4 linked regions of the Saccharomyces cerevisiae S288C genome follow. The gene in region 1 interacts genetically with each later gene. Each region holds a gene or a part of one and is shown in the gene's direction. Other genes may lie near its edges.

The links.
Region 2: mutations in CLN3 (region 1) and PRI2 together harm fitness more than expected from each alone (negative genetic interaction), as found in Saccharomyces cerevisiae (2 studies listed by BioGRID).
Region 3: mutations in CLN3 (region 1) and DAN4 together harm fitness more than expected from each alone (negative genetic interaction), as found in Saccharomyces cerevisiae (2 studies listed by BioGRID).
Region 4: mutations in CLN3 (region 1) and SST2 are lethal when combined (synthetic lethality), as found in Saccharomyces cerevisiae (2 studies listed by BioGRID, with this or other methods).

Annotation. Positions count from the first base shown.
Region 1 is NC_001133.9:65,251-69,192, reverse strand, and holds CLN3 (cyclin CLN3), read left to right. Parts: upstream 1-1,672; coding exon 1,673-3,415; downstream 3,416-3,942. Other genes in the region: holocytochrome c synthase CYC3, read left to right, coding at 1-477; Rho family guanine nucleotide exchange factor CDC24, read right to left, coding at 3,789-3,942. UniProt on the Saccharomyces cerevisiae protein: Essential for the control of the cell cycle at the G1/S (start) transition. CLN3 may be an upstream activator of the G1 cyclins which directly catalyze start.
Region 2 is NC_001143.9:351,843-355,589, forward strand, and holds PRI2 (DNA primase subunit PRI2), read left to right. Parts: upstream 1-1,650; coding exon 1,651-3,237; downstream 3,238-3,747. Other genes in the region: DCW1 (putative mannan endo-1,6-alpha-mannosidase), read right to left, coding at 1-782. UniProt on the Saccharomyces cerevisiae protein: DNA primase is the polymerase that synthesizes small RNA primers for the Okazaki fragments made during discontinuous DNA replication. In a complex with DNA polymerase alpha (DNA polymerase alpha:primase) constitutes a replicative polymerase.
Region 3 is NC_001142.9:711,741-717,446, reverse strand, and holds DAN4 (Dan4p), read left to right. Parts: upstream 1-1,706; coding exon 1,707-5,192; downstream 5,193-5,706. UniProt on the Saccharomyces cerevisiae protein: Component of the cell wall.
Region 4 is NC_001144.5:1,038,708-1,043,280, reverse strand, and holds SST2 (GTPase-activating protein SST2), read left to right. Parts: upstream 1-1,914; coding exon 1,915-4,011; downstream 4,012-4,573. Other genes in the region: RIF2 (Rif2p), read left to right, coding at 295-1,482; leucine-responsive transcriptional regulator LEU3, read right to left, coding at 4,528-4,573. UniProt on the Saccharomyces cerevisiae protein: Desensitization to alpha-factor pheromone. Is involved in regulating the signaling pathway for responding to mating pheromone.

The DNA of each region.
Region 1 (3,942 bases):
GGTAGCGGCGAAGTCGCCGAAGATGCAGTGGAGTCCATGGTGCAGGTCCACAACTTTCTAAATGAAGGGTGCTGGCAGGAAGTGCTCGAATGGGAAAAACCGCACACAGATGAAAGCCACGTGCAGCCTAAGTTGCTGAAATTCATGGGGAAACCGGGCGTATTGAGCCCTCGTGCTCGCTGGATGCACCTGTGCGGCCTACTGTTTCCGTCCCATTTTAGCCAAGAACTACCATTCGACAGGCACGACTGGATTGTACTCCGAGGCGAGCGCAAAGCGGAACAACAACCTCCAACCTTCAAGGAAGTTAGATACGTCTTGGATTTCTACGGAGGGCCCGACGACGAAAACGGAATGCCTACTTTCCACGTGGATGTCCGTCCTGCCCTAGATAGTCTAGACAATGCTAAGGACCGGATGACCCGTTTCTTGGACCGGATGATCTCGGGTCCGTCCTCTTCGTCCTCCGCCCCTTAAATGATATACAGCCAGCGTAAGTACGTGTAAATAGCCAAGTAAGAAATAATGATGTCCTAGTGCAGCCACAATCAATTTCACTTTTTCATATATATTTTTCCACCTTATTATCACAAGGTGCACCTTTATCGTGTGCCACGGCGGTAAAAAACTACCTTCAGGGGTACGATACATTCTGTGCTGGCGACCACGGGGCTGACAGAGACACCCGTAGAGGCTACATTACTGATTTGGGAAATTTCCCAAATTGGAAATATCACCTCGTCGACGTGCTGCGGTGCATGGCTGTTTTACCCGTTTAGGAAAAAACTCGGCGGGTTTTCTTGACGGGCAAATGTCGCCATTCGTCTCGTTTGAACGCTTGGCCTGTAAAACAGCTAACTCATTCACTATCTCTATCCTGCGACCGTGATGATACCGAAAGTATGCTGATACAGATCGGTCCCTCATATCGCGATAGGGCTTTCTGAGCTCTCCTCCCCCTTCTTCCCTCCCCAGCCAAAGAGGCCGGTTTTCCTTCTGGGGAAGTGTCGCAACCAAACGCTGTGCTCAAACCCTAAATTGTGAACTTTCAAGAAAAAAAAAAAGAAAAAGTGAAAAATTATCAGGCAAGAAAAAGAAATTACCAAGCCTGCTCTCACTGTAATGATCAAGTTACATAAATTTACTATCGGATTAGTGTGTCCCTCTGCCACATTTCCATATTTGGCCTTGGGTTTTTGCCCTCATCTTTTTTTTTTCTTCCTCCTACCTATTTATAATTTGTATATCTGTACTTTCCTCGAGCTTTTAATCTTCTTCTTAAACATTTTCTTGTGTAGTATACTTTCACACAATTTCTTTCTTGATTTTTTCTTCTACTACTGAGTCTGCCAGTCAAATGGATTTCTGAGGAAAGAGGACTATACCCATTAGGAAACGAATTGCCCGAGTAGTCTCCTCTGCCGACTTAAACCAACCTTTTTCTATTTCTCTTTTCTTTTCTCCCTCTTTTTTCTCTGTACTAGCATCCAAAAGCAAGCATCCATCCGAGTCCCAGTCGCAATCTCACATCTCCAATTTAACGTATCCATTGCATTTCCTCATTCGGTTTAACTCCTCTGCATTTCTTTTCTGACCCATAGCATTTCTTACATTCCATTGCATCTCCCTTTTACTCTCGTTCAAGACACTGATTTGATACGCTTTCTGTACGATGGCCATATTGAAGGATACCATAATTAGATACGCTAATGCAAGGTATGCTACCGCTAGTGGCACTTCCACCGCCACTGCCGCCTCTGTCAGCGCTGCCTCATGTCCTAATTTGCCCTTGCTCTTGCAAAAGAGGCGGGCCATTGCTAGTGCAAAGTCTAAAAACCCTAATCTCGTTAAAAGAGAATTGCAAGCACATCACTCAGCGATCAGCGAATACAATAATGATCAATTGGACCACTATTTCCGTCTTTCCCACACAGAAAGGCCGCTGTACAACCTGACTAACTTCAACTCTCAGCCACAAGTTAATCCGAAGATGCGTTTCTTGATCTTTGACTTCATCATGTACTGTCACACAAGACTCAATCTATCGACCTCGACTTTGTTCCTTACTTTCACTATCTTGGACAAGTATTCCTCGCGGTTCATTATCAAGAGTTACAACTACCAGCTCTTGTCCTTGACCGCGCTTTGGATTTCGTCCAAATTTTGGGACTCCAAGAATAGAATGGCCACTTTGAAAGTCTTGCAAAACTTGTGTTGCAATCAATATTCTATAAAGCAATTCACGACTATGGAAATGCATCTTTTCAAATCACTCGATTGGTCCATCTGTCAGTCGGCAACATTCGACTCCTACATCGACATCTTCTTGTTCCAATCTACGTCCCCGTTATCGCCTGGCGTTGTCCTTTCTGCCCCTTTGGAAGCTTTCATTCAACAGAAACTGGCCTTATTAAATAACGCTGCTGGTACTGCTATTAATAAATCGTCCTCTTCTCAAGGCCCCTCTTTGAACATCAACGAGATCAAATTGGGTGCCATTATGTTGTGCGAGTTAGCTTCCTTCAATCTCGAATTATCATTTAAATATGATCGTTCACTAATTGCGCTGGGTGCAATTAACCTCATCAAATTATCTTTGAACTACTATAATTCAAACCTTTGGGAAAATATCAATCTGGCTTTGGAGGAAAACTGCCAAGACCTAGATATTAAATTGTCAGAAATCTCTAATACTTTATTGGATATAGCAATGGACCAAAATTCTTTCCCCTCCAGTTTCAAATCAAAATATTTGAATAGCAATAAGACATCTTTAGCAAAATCTCTCTTAGACGCATTACAAAACTATTGTATTCAATTGAAACTGGAAGAATTCTACCGTTCACAAGAATTGGAAACCATGTACAATACTATCTTTGCTCAGTCCTTTGACAGCGATTCATTGACTTGTGTTTACTCAAATGCTACTACTCCAAAGAGCGCTACGGTTTCATCTGCGGCCACAGACTATTTCTCGGATCACACTCATTTAAGAAGGTTGACCAAAGATAGCATTTCTCCACCATTTGCCTTCACTCCAACCTCATCTTCATCCTCTCCATCTCCATTCAATTCCCCTTACAAGACTTCAAGTTCAATGACGACCCCAGACTCTGCATCACACCATTCACATTCAGGTTCGTTCTCTTCTACCCAAAATTCTTTTAAAAGGTCACTGAGCATCCCACAAAATTCAAGCATCTTTTGGCCAAGCCCACTAACTCCCACCACCCCATCTCTAATGTCAAATAGAAAATTATTACAAAATTTATCTGTGCGTTCAAAAAGATTATTTCCTGTTAGACCCATGGCCACTGCTCACCCATGCTCTGCCCCCACCCAACTGAAAAAGAGATCAACTTCCTCTGTGGATTGTGATTTTAATGATAGTAGCAACCTCAAGAAAACTCGCTGAAACGACAAAAAAAAAATGCATTTAACAACAAATAAATTAAAATTTGCAAAGCAAATACGTTAACATACATTAATGATCTTTTTTTCTTTTTGTTTTCACAGGACTCATTATTTCTTTAAATATACTTATATTACATTTGCATAGAATTACAAAAAAAAAAAAATTATAAAAACGCACAACCTAAAATACGATTACTATCGTTTTTTCTCCTTACTTCCTCTAGTCACATTATACATTTTTTTTCATCCTTCACAGACGTATCTTAATACTAAGTGTGGATCAATATAATGGGTATAGCTTGAACATCTGCCCCTCTCTATCTAATGTTTTTTTCTTGAATTATTTAGTATTTGCTGTATACTAGTTTTATTTATCAATACAGACGAATGTTCAAGAATTTCTCATTGTTTTCCGCCAACATTTCTTTAGCAACATTCCAATCTTCATCGCTACCTAACACAACAAAATCCCCATCTTCGTCCTGATATTTGATCTTGGTGATTGGTGAAATGTTGTTATTATGTGTA
Region 2 (3,747 bases), on another chromosome or scaffold:
GCAGAGCCAGCCAACAGCAAACCTTGATTATATGTCCATTGATATGAGGTCACTTTGGTGCAATTATCATCAATGCTGACACCATCGTAAACATACTTATAGGTACCATTAGAAATTAAGTTCACACCGACCATCCACTCGTAAACTTTTTCGGCCCAGTCAACATATGTTTGATTACCTGTATATCTTGCTAATCTTGCAGCTATGTGAAACAAGGCACCGTTAGAAACGGTGTTCTTGTAATCGTAACCAGAGTTCCAAACGAAAATTTGCCACCTCAAACCACCACCACAGGAATCGGCATCCCAACGCAAAGCCATGGTATTGAAAACAGCCTGTGCTAAATATAGCCATTGAGGCTCATTCTCGGGAGGATTAGTAAAGTTTCTCTCCGCGGCAGTCATAGCAGCAATACCCCAAAAGGCTTGGTCATCATTACCTTCAGTGGTAGATTGATTTAGCGGAATATAGTCATTATCATCACCAGCTTGATGTATCATTGCTGCTATAATTTCATCATTATAGGTGTCGTTATCCATGAAAAACCAGTAATCTAGCATACAGCCCCAGGCACCACCGGCTTCCCACCAATAGTACGGATCTGAAAACATACCGACCGTCTTACCATACTGATTACCAGTGTAATAATCCATTAAACCGTAGGCAATTAGTGAAGTAGCATTTTGCAAAGATTCGTAGTTGTCTAGATCCAATTCGACGGCATTTGTAAATCTTGTTGCGAAGAGTACACCCAGTAACCCTATCACTTTATTTACTAGCATTTTTATGTGTTCGTTTTTAAAACAGACTGAAAAGAAAGAAAGCTCAGAAAAAAAGTGGTGTGTATTTTGTTGTATCCACTATTATATGTCCTGGAAAGGTTTCCCTAGCGTTTTGACCCTTTCGTATCTTGTAATTTAAGCCTCTTTTTACCAAAAATCCTCCCGTTCGCACACCTATTAAGCTGCTTATAAAATATGAGTATCAACACAGTAACAGTGAATATATAATAGATGAGCCCATTATACAAAGAGTACCTATGATCATCATGAAATCCGAGCTTTATTTCCATCTGCCAGTTTTCTTTCTGGATGTACGAAATTAAATCGCGCCTCGAACGGGTGCAAAACCGGGTGACGGGACACCGCTACGAATATAGTACGATACACTTATACATATATGGAAGCATTTATAGCGTATATTCATCGTACGGTACATTCTTTAAATAAATGATTGAATTTTTCTGAACCAACAGTTATAAGCTGAGATCCAGTGCGTTCATGAAACGGAACATCTTACATCATCAAGAGCCCAGAAGCACGGCGTAGGATTGTTTCCGCTGCTACAGACAGACATGGAAACACTGTTTTTATCAGGCCAAAGGTGATACGACAGGTCTCTTCTTGTTTCAATATTGCCTTACATATCTGCTGCTCACTCTATTTGCTTTTTCCTGCTCATTTATAGTTAACTTGATTTGAAATTACGCGTCGCGGGGAATCGCGTAAAACTCGATATTAAATCCTGTGATTTTGCAAAAGTAAATTTTTTACTATCTACATCTCTCCAATTTGCACAACTTTGACAGGACTGATAACTACCCAGGTGGAGCAACCAGTGACAGCAGGTAAAGCACAATAAGGAGAAGAAATGTTCAGGCAGTCAAAAAGAAGAATTGCCTCAAGGAAGAATTTTAGTTCATACGATGATATTGTCAAAAGCGAATTGGACGTAGGCAACACAAATGCAGCTAACCAGATCATCTTAAGTTCAAGTTCATCTGAAGAAGAGAAAAAACTTTACGCTAGGCTGTATGAGTCTAAATTATCATTTTACGATTTACCACCACAGGGAGAAATAACGTTGGAACAATTTGAGATCTGGGCAATCGATCGTCTCAAAATTCTGTTAGAGATCGAATCTTGCCTTTCAAGAAACAAATCGATCAAAGAAATTGAAACCATTATCAAGCCGCAGTTCCAAAAACTACTGCCTTTCAACACAGAGAGTTTAGAAGACAGAAAAAAGGATTACTACTCTCATTTCATTTTAAGATTGTGCTTTTGTCGTTCAAAAGAACTGCGGGAAAAATTCGTCAGGGCTGAAACGTTTTTGTTCAAAATTAGATTTAACATGCTAACCTCCACCGATCAAACAAAATTTGTTCAATCATTGGACTTACCCTTACTACAGTTTATCTCAAATGAAGAAAAGGCCGAATTATCTCATCAGTTGTATCAAACAGTTTCTGCGTCTCTACAGTTCCAATTGAATTTAAACGAGGAACATCAAAGAAAACAGTATTTCCAACAGGAAAAATTCATAAAATTACCTTTCGAAAATGTGATAGAACTGGTAGGAAACCGTTTAGTGTTTTTGAAGGACGGGTACGCATATTTACCACAATTCCAGCAATTGAATTTACTTTCTAATGAGTTTGCTAGCAAATTGAACCAGGAGTTAATAAAAACGTACCAGTACTTACCAAGACTGAATGAGGATGACCGGTTGTTACCAATTCTAAATCATCTTTCGTCGGGGTACACTATCGCGGATTTCAACCAGCAAAAGGCAAACCAATTCAGTGAGAACGTAGATGATGAGATTAATGCGCAAAGTGTCTGGTCTGAAGAGATTAGCTCAAACTATCCGCTATGTATCAAAAACCTGATGGAGGGTCTTAAAAAGAACCATCATTTGAGGTATTATGGGAGACAACAACTGAGTCTGTTTTTGAAAGGTATCGGCCTGAGCGCTGATGAAGCGTTAAAATTTTGGTCTGAGGCATTTACAAGAAATGGGAACATGACAATGGAGAAGTTCAATAAAGAATACCGTTACAGCTTCAGGCATAATTACGGTCTTGAAGGTAACAGAATCAACTACAAACCATGGGACTGTCACACTATCCTTTCCAAGCCCAGACCTGGGCGCGGAGATTATCATGGATGCCCTTTCCGTGATTGGAGTCACGAGAGACTATCTGCAGAATTGCGCTCTATGAAGTTGACCCAAGCGCAGATCATCAGTGTTCTGGATTCCTGCCAGAAAGGTGAATACACAATTGCTTGCACTAAAGTGTTTGAAATGACACACAACTCTGCATCAGCGGATTTGGAAATTGGCGAGCAAACGCATATCGCGCATCCTAACCTATACTTCGAAAGATCAAGGCAACTGCAAAAGAAACAGCAGAAGCTGGAAAAGGAAAAACTATTCAATAATGGTAATCATTAGTGCAGAAAGGGAAAAGGAAAAAAGCGAAGAGATAACTAAAAAGGATTAATAGTATACGTAATTTAGTCTACTGTAAGTATGGTCAAAAATTTTCTTTAGTGAGAAAAAAAAAAAAAAAGAGAAACGATAAACGCTGTACAATACCAGTGACTGCACTGCTCCGAAAACGTCCGAGATATGTATATTGTCCGAATTTTTTCATACTTTAATAGCTGGCCAGAGAAACCTTATAATTTTGTGGCTGCAAGCTATCGCGCTGTTCCTCTGTGACAGGCAACACAGAACAACTAACCGCCTGTCTTTTATGCCTGTACACTTCATTAAAATTTACCGTTTTCTTCCATTACAAGCGGGGACACTTTCCGTTTAAACCTGCAATATGTTGCAGGGCCTATCCACGCCAATTTACTGTGGCAGAAGTTACTGCAGTGGAAGAACTACCTTTTCCAGCATAGCCTCCGCCACCAAAAAATGCAGGTGCTGCGTTTTCTGGATACGTGGCTGGCCTTT
Region 3 (5,706 bases), on another chromosome or scaffold:
ATTGAGGCTCCTCTTTATCCTTAAAACGGAACAAGGTTAGCATGTCTTTCAATCTTAAGTTTAAGAGGCCGCCGGACATCTTCATATCAACCCTTTTCCTGCCAGGAGGCAGGCACAATCATTTGTTGTGCATGTAGGGCTAGATTTTTGAAAATTTGGCATTTCGAGCATATGGGCCCCAGAATAAGCTTCAGGCTAGTTTTTTTTTTTTAGCTTCTATTATGTATGCCCGTCAAGATCATTAGTATCGCATGATTTGGTTGATTAACCACAGAATGTTGAGAAATTCTCACAATGGAAGACATATCGGCCTACGGTAAGATTACACTGAGGACCTTATGTAGTCTGATTGCTTCTGTTTACGCAGAGCCCCGCATATTTTGATAGTTTGATATGAAACCTTTACAAATCATTGAGAGTGCGCCGTACTCGTCGAATCGCGGGGAATGTCTTCTATTAACGTGTCCTCTACGGGCCGTCATTCCAAACGGGCAGCTGTAGGCGACTAATGAACCACCTCTGAATGCAAAGGATGTAAACTGTTGGCACAATAATGGGGCTGACGTAGCGTGAAGAAAATATAACTGATATGTTAAAGGAAATACAAAAGATTTCATGACCGCTAACACAACAATACTAAGTTATGAGGGTAGAGATTTTTCGTTACTGTTGCTATAAGAACCCGAATCAAGACCGTTTATCATATATGAACTATTATGATTGGCAAGGCTTTTTCTTAATTCAAGTCACACGTCGAGGTCTCCCTTGGAATTCGTATAAATCACACTAAAAGTTCTGTGGATTCTATTAAATGAAAGCAACGGTTCCGCTTTGGATGCATAGAACCTTCGTGAGTAATTATTTTCCAATTGGAGGAATGGATGTTATCATCAAACGATAACATTCATAGCCAAGAAGTATTTGGGTTTTCTTTTTGTCACATGTAGACTTTGATACTTCTCTGTGCAAGCTATGACAGGTTACAAAGCGCATTGAGTGGCGGGCTGCAAAAAAATGAGGAGATATTTCAATTAACAAGATCTAGTTTCCTAATACGGACCTTTTTCGGAGCGCTAGGATCAAAATTGGATAGCACAAACAGCTTCTCTCTCTCTACGAGCTAAGATCCTCTGAATGGTGCTTGCACATTCTCGTTTGCAGCATATTTACTCCTTTTCGAGTGTGCTAAACCCCAAGTGACCCAGTGTCTACTGACTGGGAAAAAGTGATCTTTCTGTTTGGTAGCGCGTATAGCACGTAGAGTAAAGTTATGTGAATGTCTATTGAACGACGACATCAAATTAACTTTTTTTGCAGTTCTGTCACTTAATCACAGATAATAAGAGCAGAACAATTTAGGCACGGGGAAATTCGATCGATCTGCCCATCCGTAGGCGTTTTCTCCGGAGAAGTTTTTACATGCTGCGCATTTCTTTGGCGGTGAAAAAGACAGTACATCGCGTGCCTTTAAAGATGTCAAAAATTATACGAGATCTGTTTAAGATCTCCATCGTTCAGGAACTGTAAAACAAGAAGCATTGGCAAAGATAGTGATTTTGCTCCAATATATTCGTTTATACAACAGCTGTTTGGTTCGAAAGCCTATAAATGGCCTGTGTAAATGGCTGTATTGAGAGTATGCTCAAACTGAAATAAGTACCAGTTCCTGTCGAATCTGCGATATCCGAAAAACTCCGAAGAAAGCAATGGTTAATATAAGCATCGTAGCAGGAATTGTAGCCTTAGCTACTAGTGCGGCTGCTATTACAGCGACCACTACTTTATCTCCTTACGATGAAAGAGTCAACCTTATTGAATTGGCTGTTTATGTTTCTGACATCAGAGCCCACATATTTCAGTACTACTCTTTCCGGAATCACCATAAGACTGAAACATATCCTTCGGAAATCGCAGCAGCCGTTTTTGACTACGGTGATTTCACTACTCGATTGACCGGTATTTCGGGTGATGAAGTAACTAGAATGATCACTGGTGTTCCGTGGTACTCTACCAGATTAAAGCCGGCTATCTCTTCAGCGCTTTCAAAGGATGGTATTTACACGGCTATCCCAACCTCTACTTCTACAACGACTACAAAATCTAGTACTTCGACTACTCCTACCACCACTATCACTTCTACTACTTCTACCACATCGACTACTCCTACAACCTCTACTACTTCTACCACTCCTACAACTTCTACCACATCGACTACTCCTACAACCTCTACTACTTCTACCACTCCTACAACTTCTACCACATCGACTACTCCTACAACCTCTACTACTTCTACCACTCCTACAACTTCTACCACATCGACTACTCCTACAACCTCTACTACTTCTACCACTCCTACAACTTCTACAACTTCTACCACTCCTACAACTTCTACCACTCCTACAACTTCTACAACCTCCACCACTTCTCAAACTTCCACCAAATCGACTACTCCTACTACTTCAAGCACATCGACTACTCCTACAACTTCTACCACTCCTACAACTTCTACAACCTCTACCGCTCCTACAACTTCTACAACTTCTACAACCTCTACCACTTCTACCATTTCTACCGCTCCCACGACCTCTACAACTTCAAGCACTTTCAGTACTTCTAGTGCCTCTGCATCCTCTGTCATTTCTACCACTGCTACAACCTCTACCACTTTTGCCAGTCTTACTACACCTGCCACATCTACGGCTTCTACTGACCATACAACCTCTAGTGTCTCAACAACTAACGCATTCACTACTTCTGCAACTACTACTACTACGAGCGATACATATATCAGTTCAAGTAGTCCCAGCCAAGTCACTTCATCCGCTGAGCCTACTACTGTCAGTGAAGTCACCTCTTCTGTTGAACCTACCAGGTCTAGTCAAGTCACTTCATCCGCTGAACCTACTACTGTCAGTGAATTCACCTCTTCTGTTGAACCTACCAGGTCTAGTCAAGTCACTTCATCCGCTGAACCTACTACTGTCAGTGAATTCACCTCTTCTGTTGAACCTACCAGGTCTAGTCAAGTCACTTCATCCGCTGAACCTACTACTGTCAGTGAATTCACCTCTTCTGTTGAACCTACCAGGTCTAGTCAAGTCACTTCATCCGCTGAACCTACTACTGTCAGTGAATTCACCTCTTCTGTTGAACCTACCAGGTCTAGTCAAGTCACTTCATCCGCTGAACCTACTACTGTCAGTGAATTCACCTCTTCTGTTGAACCTATCAGGTCTAGTCAAGTCACTTCATCCGCTGAACCTACTACTGTAAGTGAAGTCACCTCTTCTGTTGAACCTATCAGGTCTAGTCAAGTGACCACGACAGAACCTGTTTCTTCCTTCGGGTCTACTTTCAGTGAAATCACCTCTTCTGCTGAACCTCTCTCTTTCAGTAAAGCAACCACTTCCGCAGAATCTATCTCCTCTAATCAAATCACCATTTCCAGTGAACTAATAGTTTCTAGTGTAATTACTTCCTCTTCTGAGATTCCTTCTTCCATTGAAGTACTTACTTCAAGCGGGATCAGTTCATCAGTTGAACCCACTTCTTTGGTTGGACCTTCTTCTGATGAATCCATTTCTTCTACTGAAAGTCTATCTGCCACATCCACTTTCACTTCAGCCGTTGTTTCCTCGAGCAAGGCTGCTGATTTCTTTACCAGATCCACTGTTTCTGCTAAATCTGATGTCTCTGGTAACTCCTCTACCCAATCTACTACCTTTTTTGCTACGCCTTCCACTCCACTTGCTGTTTCTTCAACTGTGGTCACTAGCTCTACCGATTCAGTTTCTCCTAATATTCCCTTCAGTGAAATCAGTTCCTCTCCAGAGTCGTCTACTGCAATTACGTCTACATCCACTAGCTTCATTGCTGAGCGGACTTCTTCCTTATATCTTTCGTCATCAAATATGTCAAGTTTCACTTTAAGTACTTTCACTGTTTCCCAATCGATCGTCTCTTCATTTTCTATGGAACCTACATCGTCAGTCGCATCTTTTGCATCAAGTTCCCCTCTCTTAGTATCCTCAAGAAGTAATTGCAGTGATGCCAGAAGTTCCAACACCATCAGTAGCGGTCTGTTCAGCACGATAGAAAATGTTCGTAATGCAACCTCAACATTTACAAACCTATCAACAGATGAAATTGTCATCACGAGCTGTAAGAGTAGTTGTACTAATGAAGATAGTGTTTTGACGAAAACTCAAGTTTCTACCGTTGAAACTACTATAACTAGTTGTTCGGGTGGTATTTGTACCACGCTGATGTCTCCGGTTACTACTATTAATGCTAAGGCGAACACATTAACAACTACAGAAACTTCCACGGTCGAAACAACTATAACAACATGCCCTGGTGGTGTTTGCTCGACCCTGACTGTTCCAGTTACTACAATCACCAGCGAAGCCACTACCACCGCTACCATTAGTTGCGAAGATAATGAAGAAGATATCACTTCTACTGAAACCGAGTTGCTAACTTTGGAAACTACTATAACTAGTTGTTCGGGTGGTATTTGTACCACGCTGATGTCTCCGGTTACTACTATTAATGCTAAGGCGAACACATTAACAACTACAGAAACTTCCACGGTCGAAACAACTATAACAACATGCTCTGGTGGTGTTTGCTCGACCCTGACTGTTCCAGTTACTACAATCACCAGCGAAGCAACTACCACCGCTACCATTAGTTGCGAAGATAATGAAGAAGATGTCGCCTCTACTAAAACCGAGTTGCTAACTATGGAAACTACTATTACTAGTTGTTCGGGTGGTATTTGCACCACGCTGATGTCTCCGGTTAGTAGTTTCAACTCCAAAGCCACTACATCGAACAATGCAGAGTCGACCATCCCCAAAGCGATTAAAGTCAGTTGCTCTGCGGGTGCCTGTACCACCCTGACTACTGTCGATGCAGGGATTAGCATGTTTACCAGAACCGGATTGTCTATCACTCAAACTACTGTGACCAACTGCTCAGGTGGAACCTGTACCATGTTAACTGCACCAATCGCGACCGCTACCAGCAAAGTCATCTCACCAATTCCAAAAGCCTCCTCGGCTACTTCCATTGCTCATTCATCTGCTTCTTATACTGTCAGTATCAATACCAACGGTGCCTATAATTTCGATAAAGATAACATTTTTGGTACCGCTATCGTTGCTGTTGTCGCTTTATTACTGCTATAGTGATACAATATAATCTTCACAAGCATATAAACAATTGTAAAATAATTTAAATTGACTTGAAAGAAATTTTAAATCTATACTTGATTCATGTAGCACATAATACTACGGTTTGTGAACATACTCCTATACACTTTGAATGGTTTGTATGATATACAGGTATCTAAACATTAGTGTTACCAGTTCGTATATTAACACTAGTTAAATTTGAATCCTCTAAGGTATCGCCAACAAGTAAAATTTTACATTTAATTGAGAAGTTTTTTAATTTTTCTAAGAAAACATTAAAAATATCACAATATGGGCTTCAGCCTAAAATTATGGTTTTTTTTTTCCCTCATCCTTCATTTTATTACCTCCGTTTATTGACGTGTTCGACAACTCACATATGAAGCTTTAAATACTTTGTTCACTGTTAGTTTAAATAAAATTTAGCCTTTAGGTTAAAAATCGTGTCAAAAAAGGAATTCTTCCAAGAACATGAACTAAAGCTCTTCTTAAAATAAAGTTATGTAAG
Region 4 (4,573 bases), on another chromosome or scaffold:
AATAAATCCTTAAAGATTTTGCTTCACTCCATATCCGTAACCGTTCTTGCTGACATGGTTTTCATACACATAATGTTATTATAAGGGATGCTTCTAGGTCAAAGGGCAACCCGGCTTAGTTATCTTGAAAGTTATTATTTTAGTTTTCTAATTTTGCAGCTGTTTTCAATGAAGAAAACATTGCGCTTACAGATATGTACAGAAGGGATCTTCTTAACCATCAATTTCAATAAGTTAGAACAATATATGTACGAATATAGATATAAATACGAACGTGGTTAGTATATAGAGACAATGGAGCATGTAGATTCCGATTTTGCACCTATAAGGAGATCGAAAAAGGTTGTTGACAGTGACAAGATTGTGAAAGCAATAAGCGATGATTTGGAGCAAAAAAATTTTACTGTACTGAGAAAGTTGAACCTTGTTCCAATTAAAAAAAGTGTTAGCAGCCCAAAGGTGTGTAAGCCGAGTCCAGTTAAGGAGCGAGTGGACCATGTTTTCTACCAGAAGTTCAAATCAATGGCCTTGCAAGAGCTAGGCACCAATTATTTGTCAATAAGCTACGTTCCGAGCTTAAGTAAGTTTCTTTCAAAAAATCTTAGGAGTATGAAAAATTGTATCGTTTTCTTCGACAAAGTTGAACATATACACCAATATGCTGGTATCGACCGTGCAGTTTCAGAAACACTGTCTTTAGTCGATATAAATGTCGTAATTATAGAAATGAATGACTACTTAATGAAAGAGGGTATTCAATCAAGCAAATCAAAAGAATGTATCGAGTCAATGGGGCAGGCTTCATATAGCGGACAACTAGATTTCGAAGCTAGTGAAAAACCTTCAAATCACACGTCTGACCTAATGATGATGGTTATGAGGAAAATAAATAATGACGAAAGTATCGATCATATTGTCTACTTCAAATTCGAACAATTAGATAAATTATCTACTTCAACTATAATAGAACCTTCGAAGCTTACCGAATTTATCAATGTTTTATCGGTACTTGAAAAAAGTAATAACATTGCATTTAAGGTCCTCATTTATTCAAATAACGTTAGCATTTCGTCTCTCCTATCGACATCCCTCAAAAAGAAACTCAACACAAAATATACTGTGTTTGAGATGCCGATATTAACATGCGCTCAAGAACAAGAATATTTGAAAAAAATGATAAAGTTTACCTTTGATTCCGGAAGCAAGTTATTACAGTCTTACAACTCGCTTGTCACATGCCAGTTGAATAATAAAGAATCCAACTTAGCAATCTTTTTCGAATTTTTGAAGGTCTTTCCGCACCCTTTTACCTATTTGTTTAACGCTTACACTGAGATTATAGTCCAGAGTAGAACTTTTGATGAATTGTTGGATAAGATCAGAAACAGACTGACAATAAAAAATTACCCACATAGTGCTTATAACTTTAAGAAAAACCAGCGTCTTCCACTTAAGTTAACTCGAAAAGTACATGATAGATAAATTACCAAGGTCTTTTGAAAGAGTTCGAACAATACAAAGAGATGGCAACTCCTTTGGAAAAGTTCAAGTTGAACCACCTCCGTTGTCTCTATTAATGAAGAAGCCATGAAGTATGCGAAGTTTTAACTGAATCATCTTCAATAATTATGGGATGTCTGGGTTTTAAACGTTTCATAATATTCAATTTTGAAACAATGATCCCAATACTGCTTTTTTTTTGACTAGGACTTGGATTTGGTTGCTGGTGCGTTAGAATTGTTGTCTGTCCTGTTATATTTATACCGGTGAATGAAATCATAATCCCAGCTCTGTCTTTACTTCTCATCGTCCTTTAACTTTGGAGGTGTTACTGTCGTACGTTCCTTCTAGGTTTTGCACGCACTATCTGAGGCGTTATAGGTTCAATTTGGTAATTAAAGATAGAGTTGTAAGATGGTGGATAAAAATAGGACGTTGCATGAATTATCTTCCAAAAATTTCAGCAGAACGCCGAATGGACTGATCTTTACCAATGATTTAAAGACAGTATATTCCATTTTTCTAATTTGTTTGGATTTGAAAGAGAAAAAACATAGTAGTGACACTAAGTCTTTCTTATTAACTGCATTCACTAAACATTTCCACTTCACTTTTACATATCAGGAAGCTATTAAAGCAATGGGACAATTGGAACTAAAAGTGGATATGAACACAACTTGTATTAACGTTTCATATAATATTAAACCTAGTTTGGCGCGCCACCTTCTTACATTATTTATGTCTTCTAAGCTACTACATACACCGCAGGACAGAACTCGTGGCGAGCCAAAAGAGAAAGTTCTTTTCCAACCAACACCTAAGGGAGTTGCTGTTTTACAAAAGTATGTTAGAGATATTGGGTTGAAAACAATGCCTGATATTCTTTTGTCATCGTTTAACTCCATGAAACTTTTCACTTTTGAGAGAAGCTCTGTCACGGATTCAATCATCCATAGTGATTATTTGATCCATATTCTTTTCATTAAAATGATGGGCGCTAAGCCAAATGTTTGGTCTCCAACAAACGCAGATGACCCATTACCTTGCCTATCTTCGTTGTTGGAATACACTAATAATGATGATACATTTACTTTTGAGAAATCTAAGCCAGAACAAGGATGGCAAGCTCAGATTGGAAACATCGATATAAATGACTTAGAAAGGGTATCGCCATTAGCTCATCGATTCTTTACAAATCCAGATTCTGAGTCGCACACGCAATACTACGTTTCGAATGCAGGTATTAGGTTGTTTGAAAATAAGACGTTTGGCACTTCCAAAAAAATCGTGATTAAGTACACCTTTACAACAAAGGCTATATGGCAGTGGATAATGGACTGTACTGATATTATGCATGTTAAAGAAGCGGTCTCGTTGGCAGCGTTATTTTTAAAAACGGGGTTGATTGTACCAGTTCTTTTACAACCATCACGCACTGACAAGAAAAAGTTTCAAATTAGCAGGTCCTCTTTTTTTACCTTGTCCAAGCGTGGTTGGGATTTGGTTTCTTGGACAGGTTGTAAGAGCAATAATATTAGAGCACCAAATGGTAGCACCATAGACCTAGATTTCACATTAAGGGGTCATATGACTGTTCGTGATGAAAAAAAGACATTGGATGATAGTGAAGGTTTTTCTCAAGACATGCTTATCTCTTCGAGTAATTTAAATAAACTGGACTATGTGCTAACTGATCCAGGTATGAGATATTTATTCAGGCGCCATTTAGAAAAGGAACTTTGTGTAGAAAATTTGGATGTCTTCATTGAGATTAAGAGGTTTTTGAAGAAAATGACAATTCTGAAAAAATTGATAGATTCTAAGCATTGTGATAAAAAATCTAATACCAGTACTTCAAAAAACAATATCGTAAAAACGATTGATTCAGCTTTAATGAAACAGGCCAATGAGTGCCTTGAAATGGCATATCACATTTATTCGTCCTATATCATGATAGGATCACCATATCAATTAAATATCCATCATAACTTGCGTCAGAATATTTCTGACATCATGTTGCACCCTCATTCTCCATTATCGGAACACTTTCCTACTAATCTATACGATCCATCACCTGCATCCGCGGAATCAGCAGCTTCATCAATTAGCTCAACGGAGGCTGACACGTTAGGTGAACCACCTGAAGTGAGTCTAAAACCTTCAAAAAATCTTTCAAATGAAAACTGTTCATTTAAGAAGCAAGGATTCAAACATCAGTTAAAGGAATATAAACCTGCCCCGTTAACTCTGGCAGAAACGCATTCGCCTAATGCATCAGTAGAAAATTCACATACAATTGTTCGTTATGGCATGGACAACACCCAAAATGATACCAAATCGGTTGAATCATTTCCAGCAACTTTGAAGGTCCTCAGGAAATTATATCCCCTCTTCGAGATCGTTAGCAATGAAATGTATAGACTGATGAATAACGATTCCTTTCAAAAATTTACCCAGTCAGACGTATACAAAGATGCTAGCGCTTTAATAGAAATCCAAGAAAAGTGCTAATTTCATTGAGAGTCTTACTCATCTTCAGGTACAATTGCACAAACAGTCCTTTTTTTTTTCTTTAGTTCTCCTAACCTAATATGTCTTGATACCCATAAGGACTGTAAATACTATTACGTATAAATTAAGCGGAGGTGTGATTTGTTATATCAACTATAATATGATTAAATAAAGCCATTTATTATCTAGTATAATTTCCAATCCTGAGATGTGACTAACGTGAGCGCTTACGAATCTTCGCATCATACACCTGTGGCCAAGGCTGGTTGGCGGTTTAAGTCCGTCTGAAAACTTTTTTTTACGTCATTTGAAGATCAAAAGTATTGAACATATACCTAATGACACAGTTTTTTACACTTTTTTTGAGTTAAATTATTCAAGGACAAAAAATAGTGTGCGTAAATGGAAGAAATATAAACGTATATAGAAAATCATTTACCTCTCCTGTAGCACCGCAGTCATTACATAACATTTTTTCGAGGGTAAGTAAACATTACGCAAAAAAAGAAAAGGACTTTAAACCTTGGGATTGAACGCAAATTCATTCATTAAAATATCAACA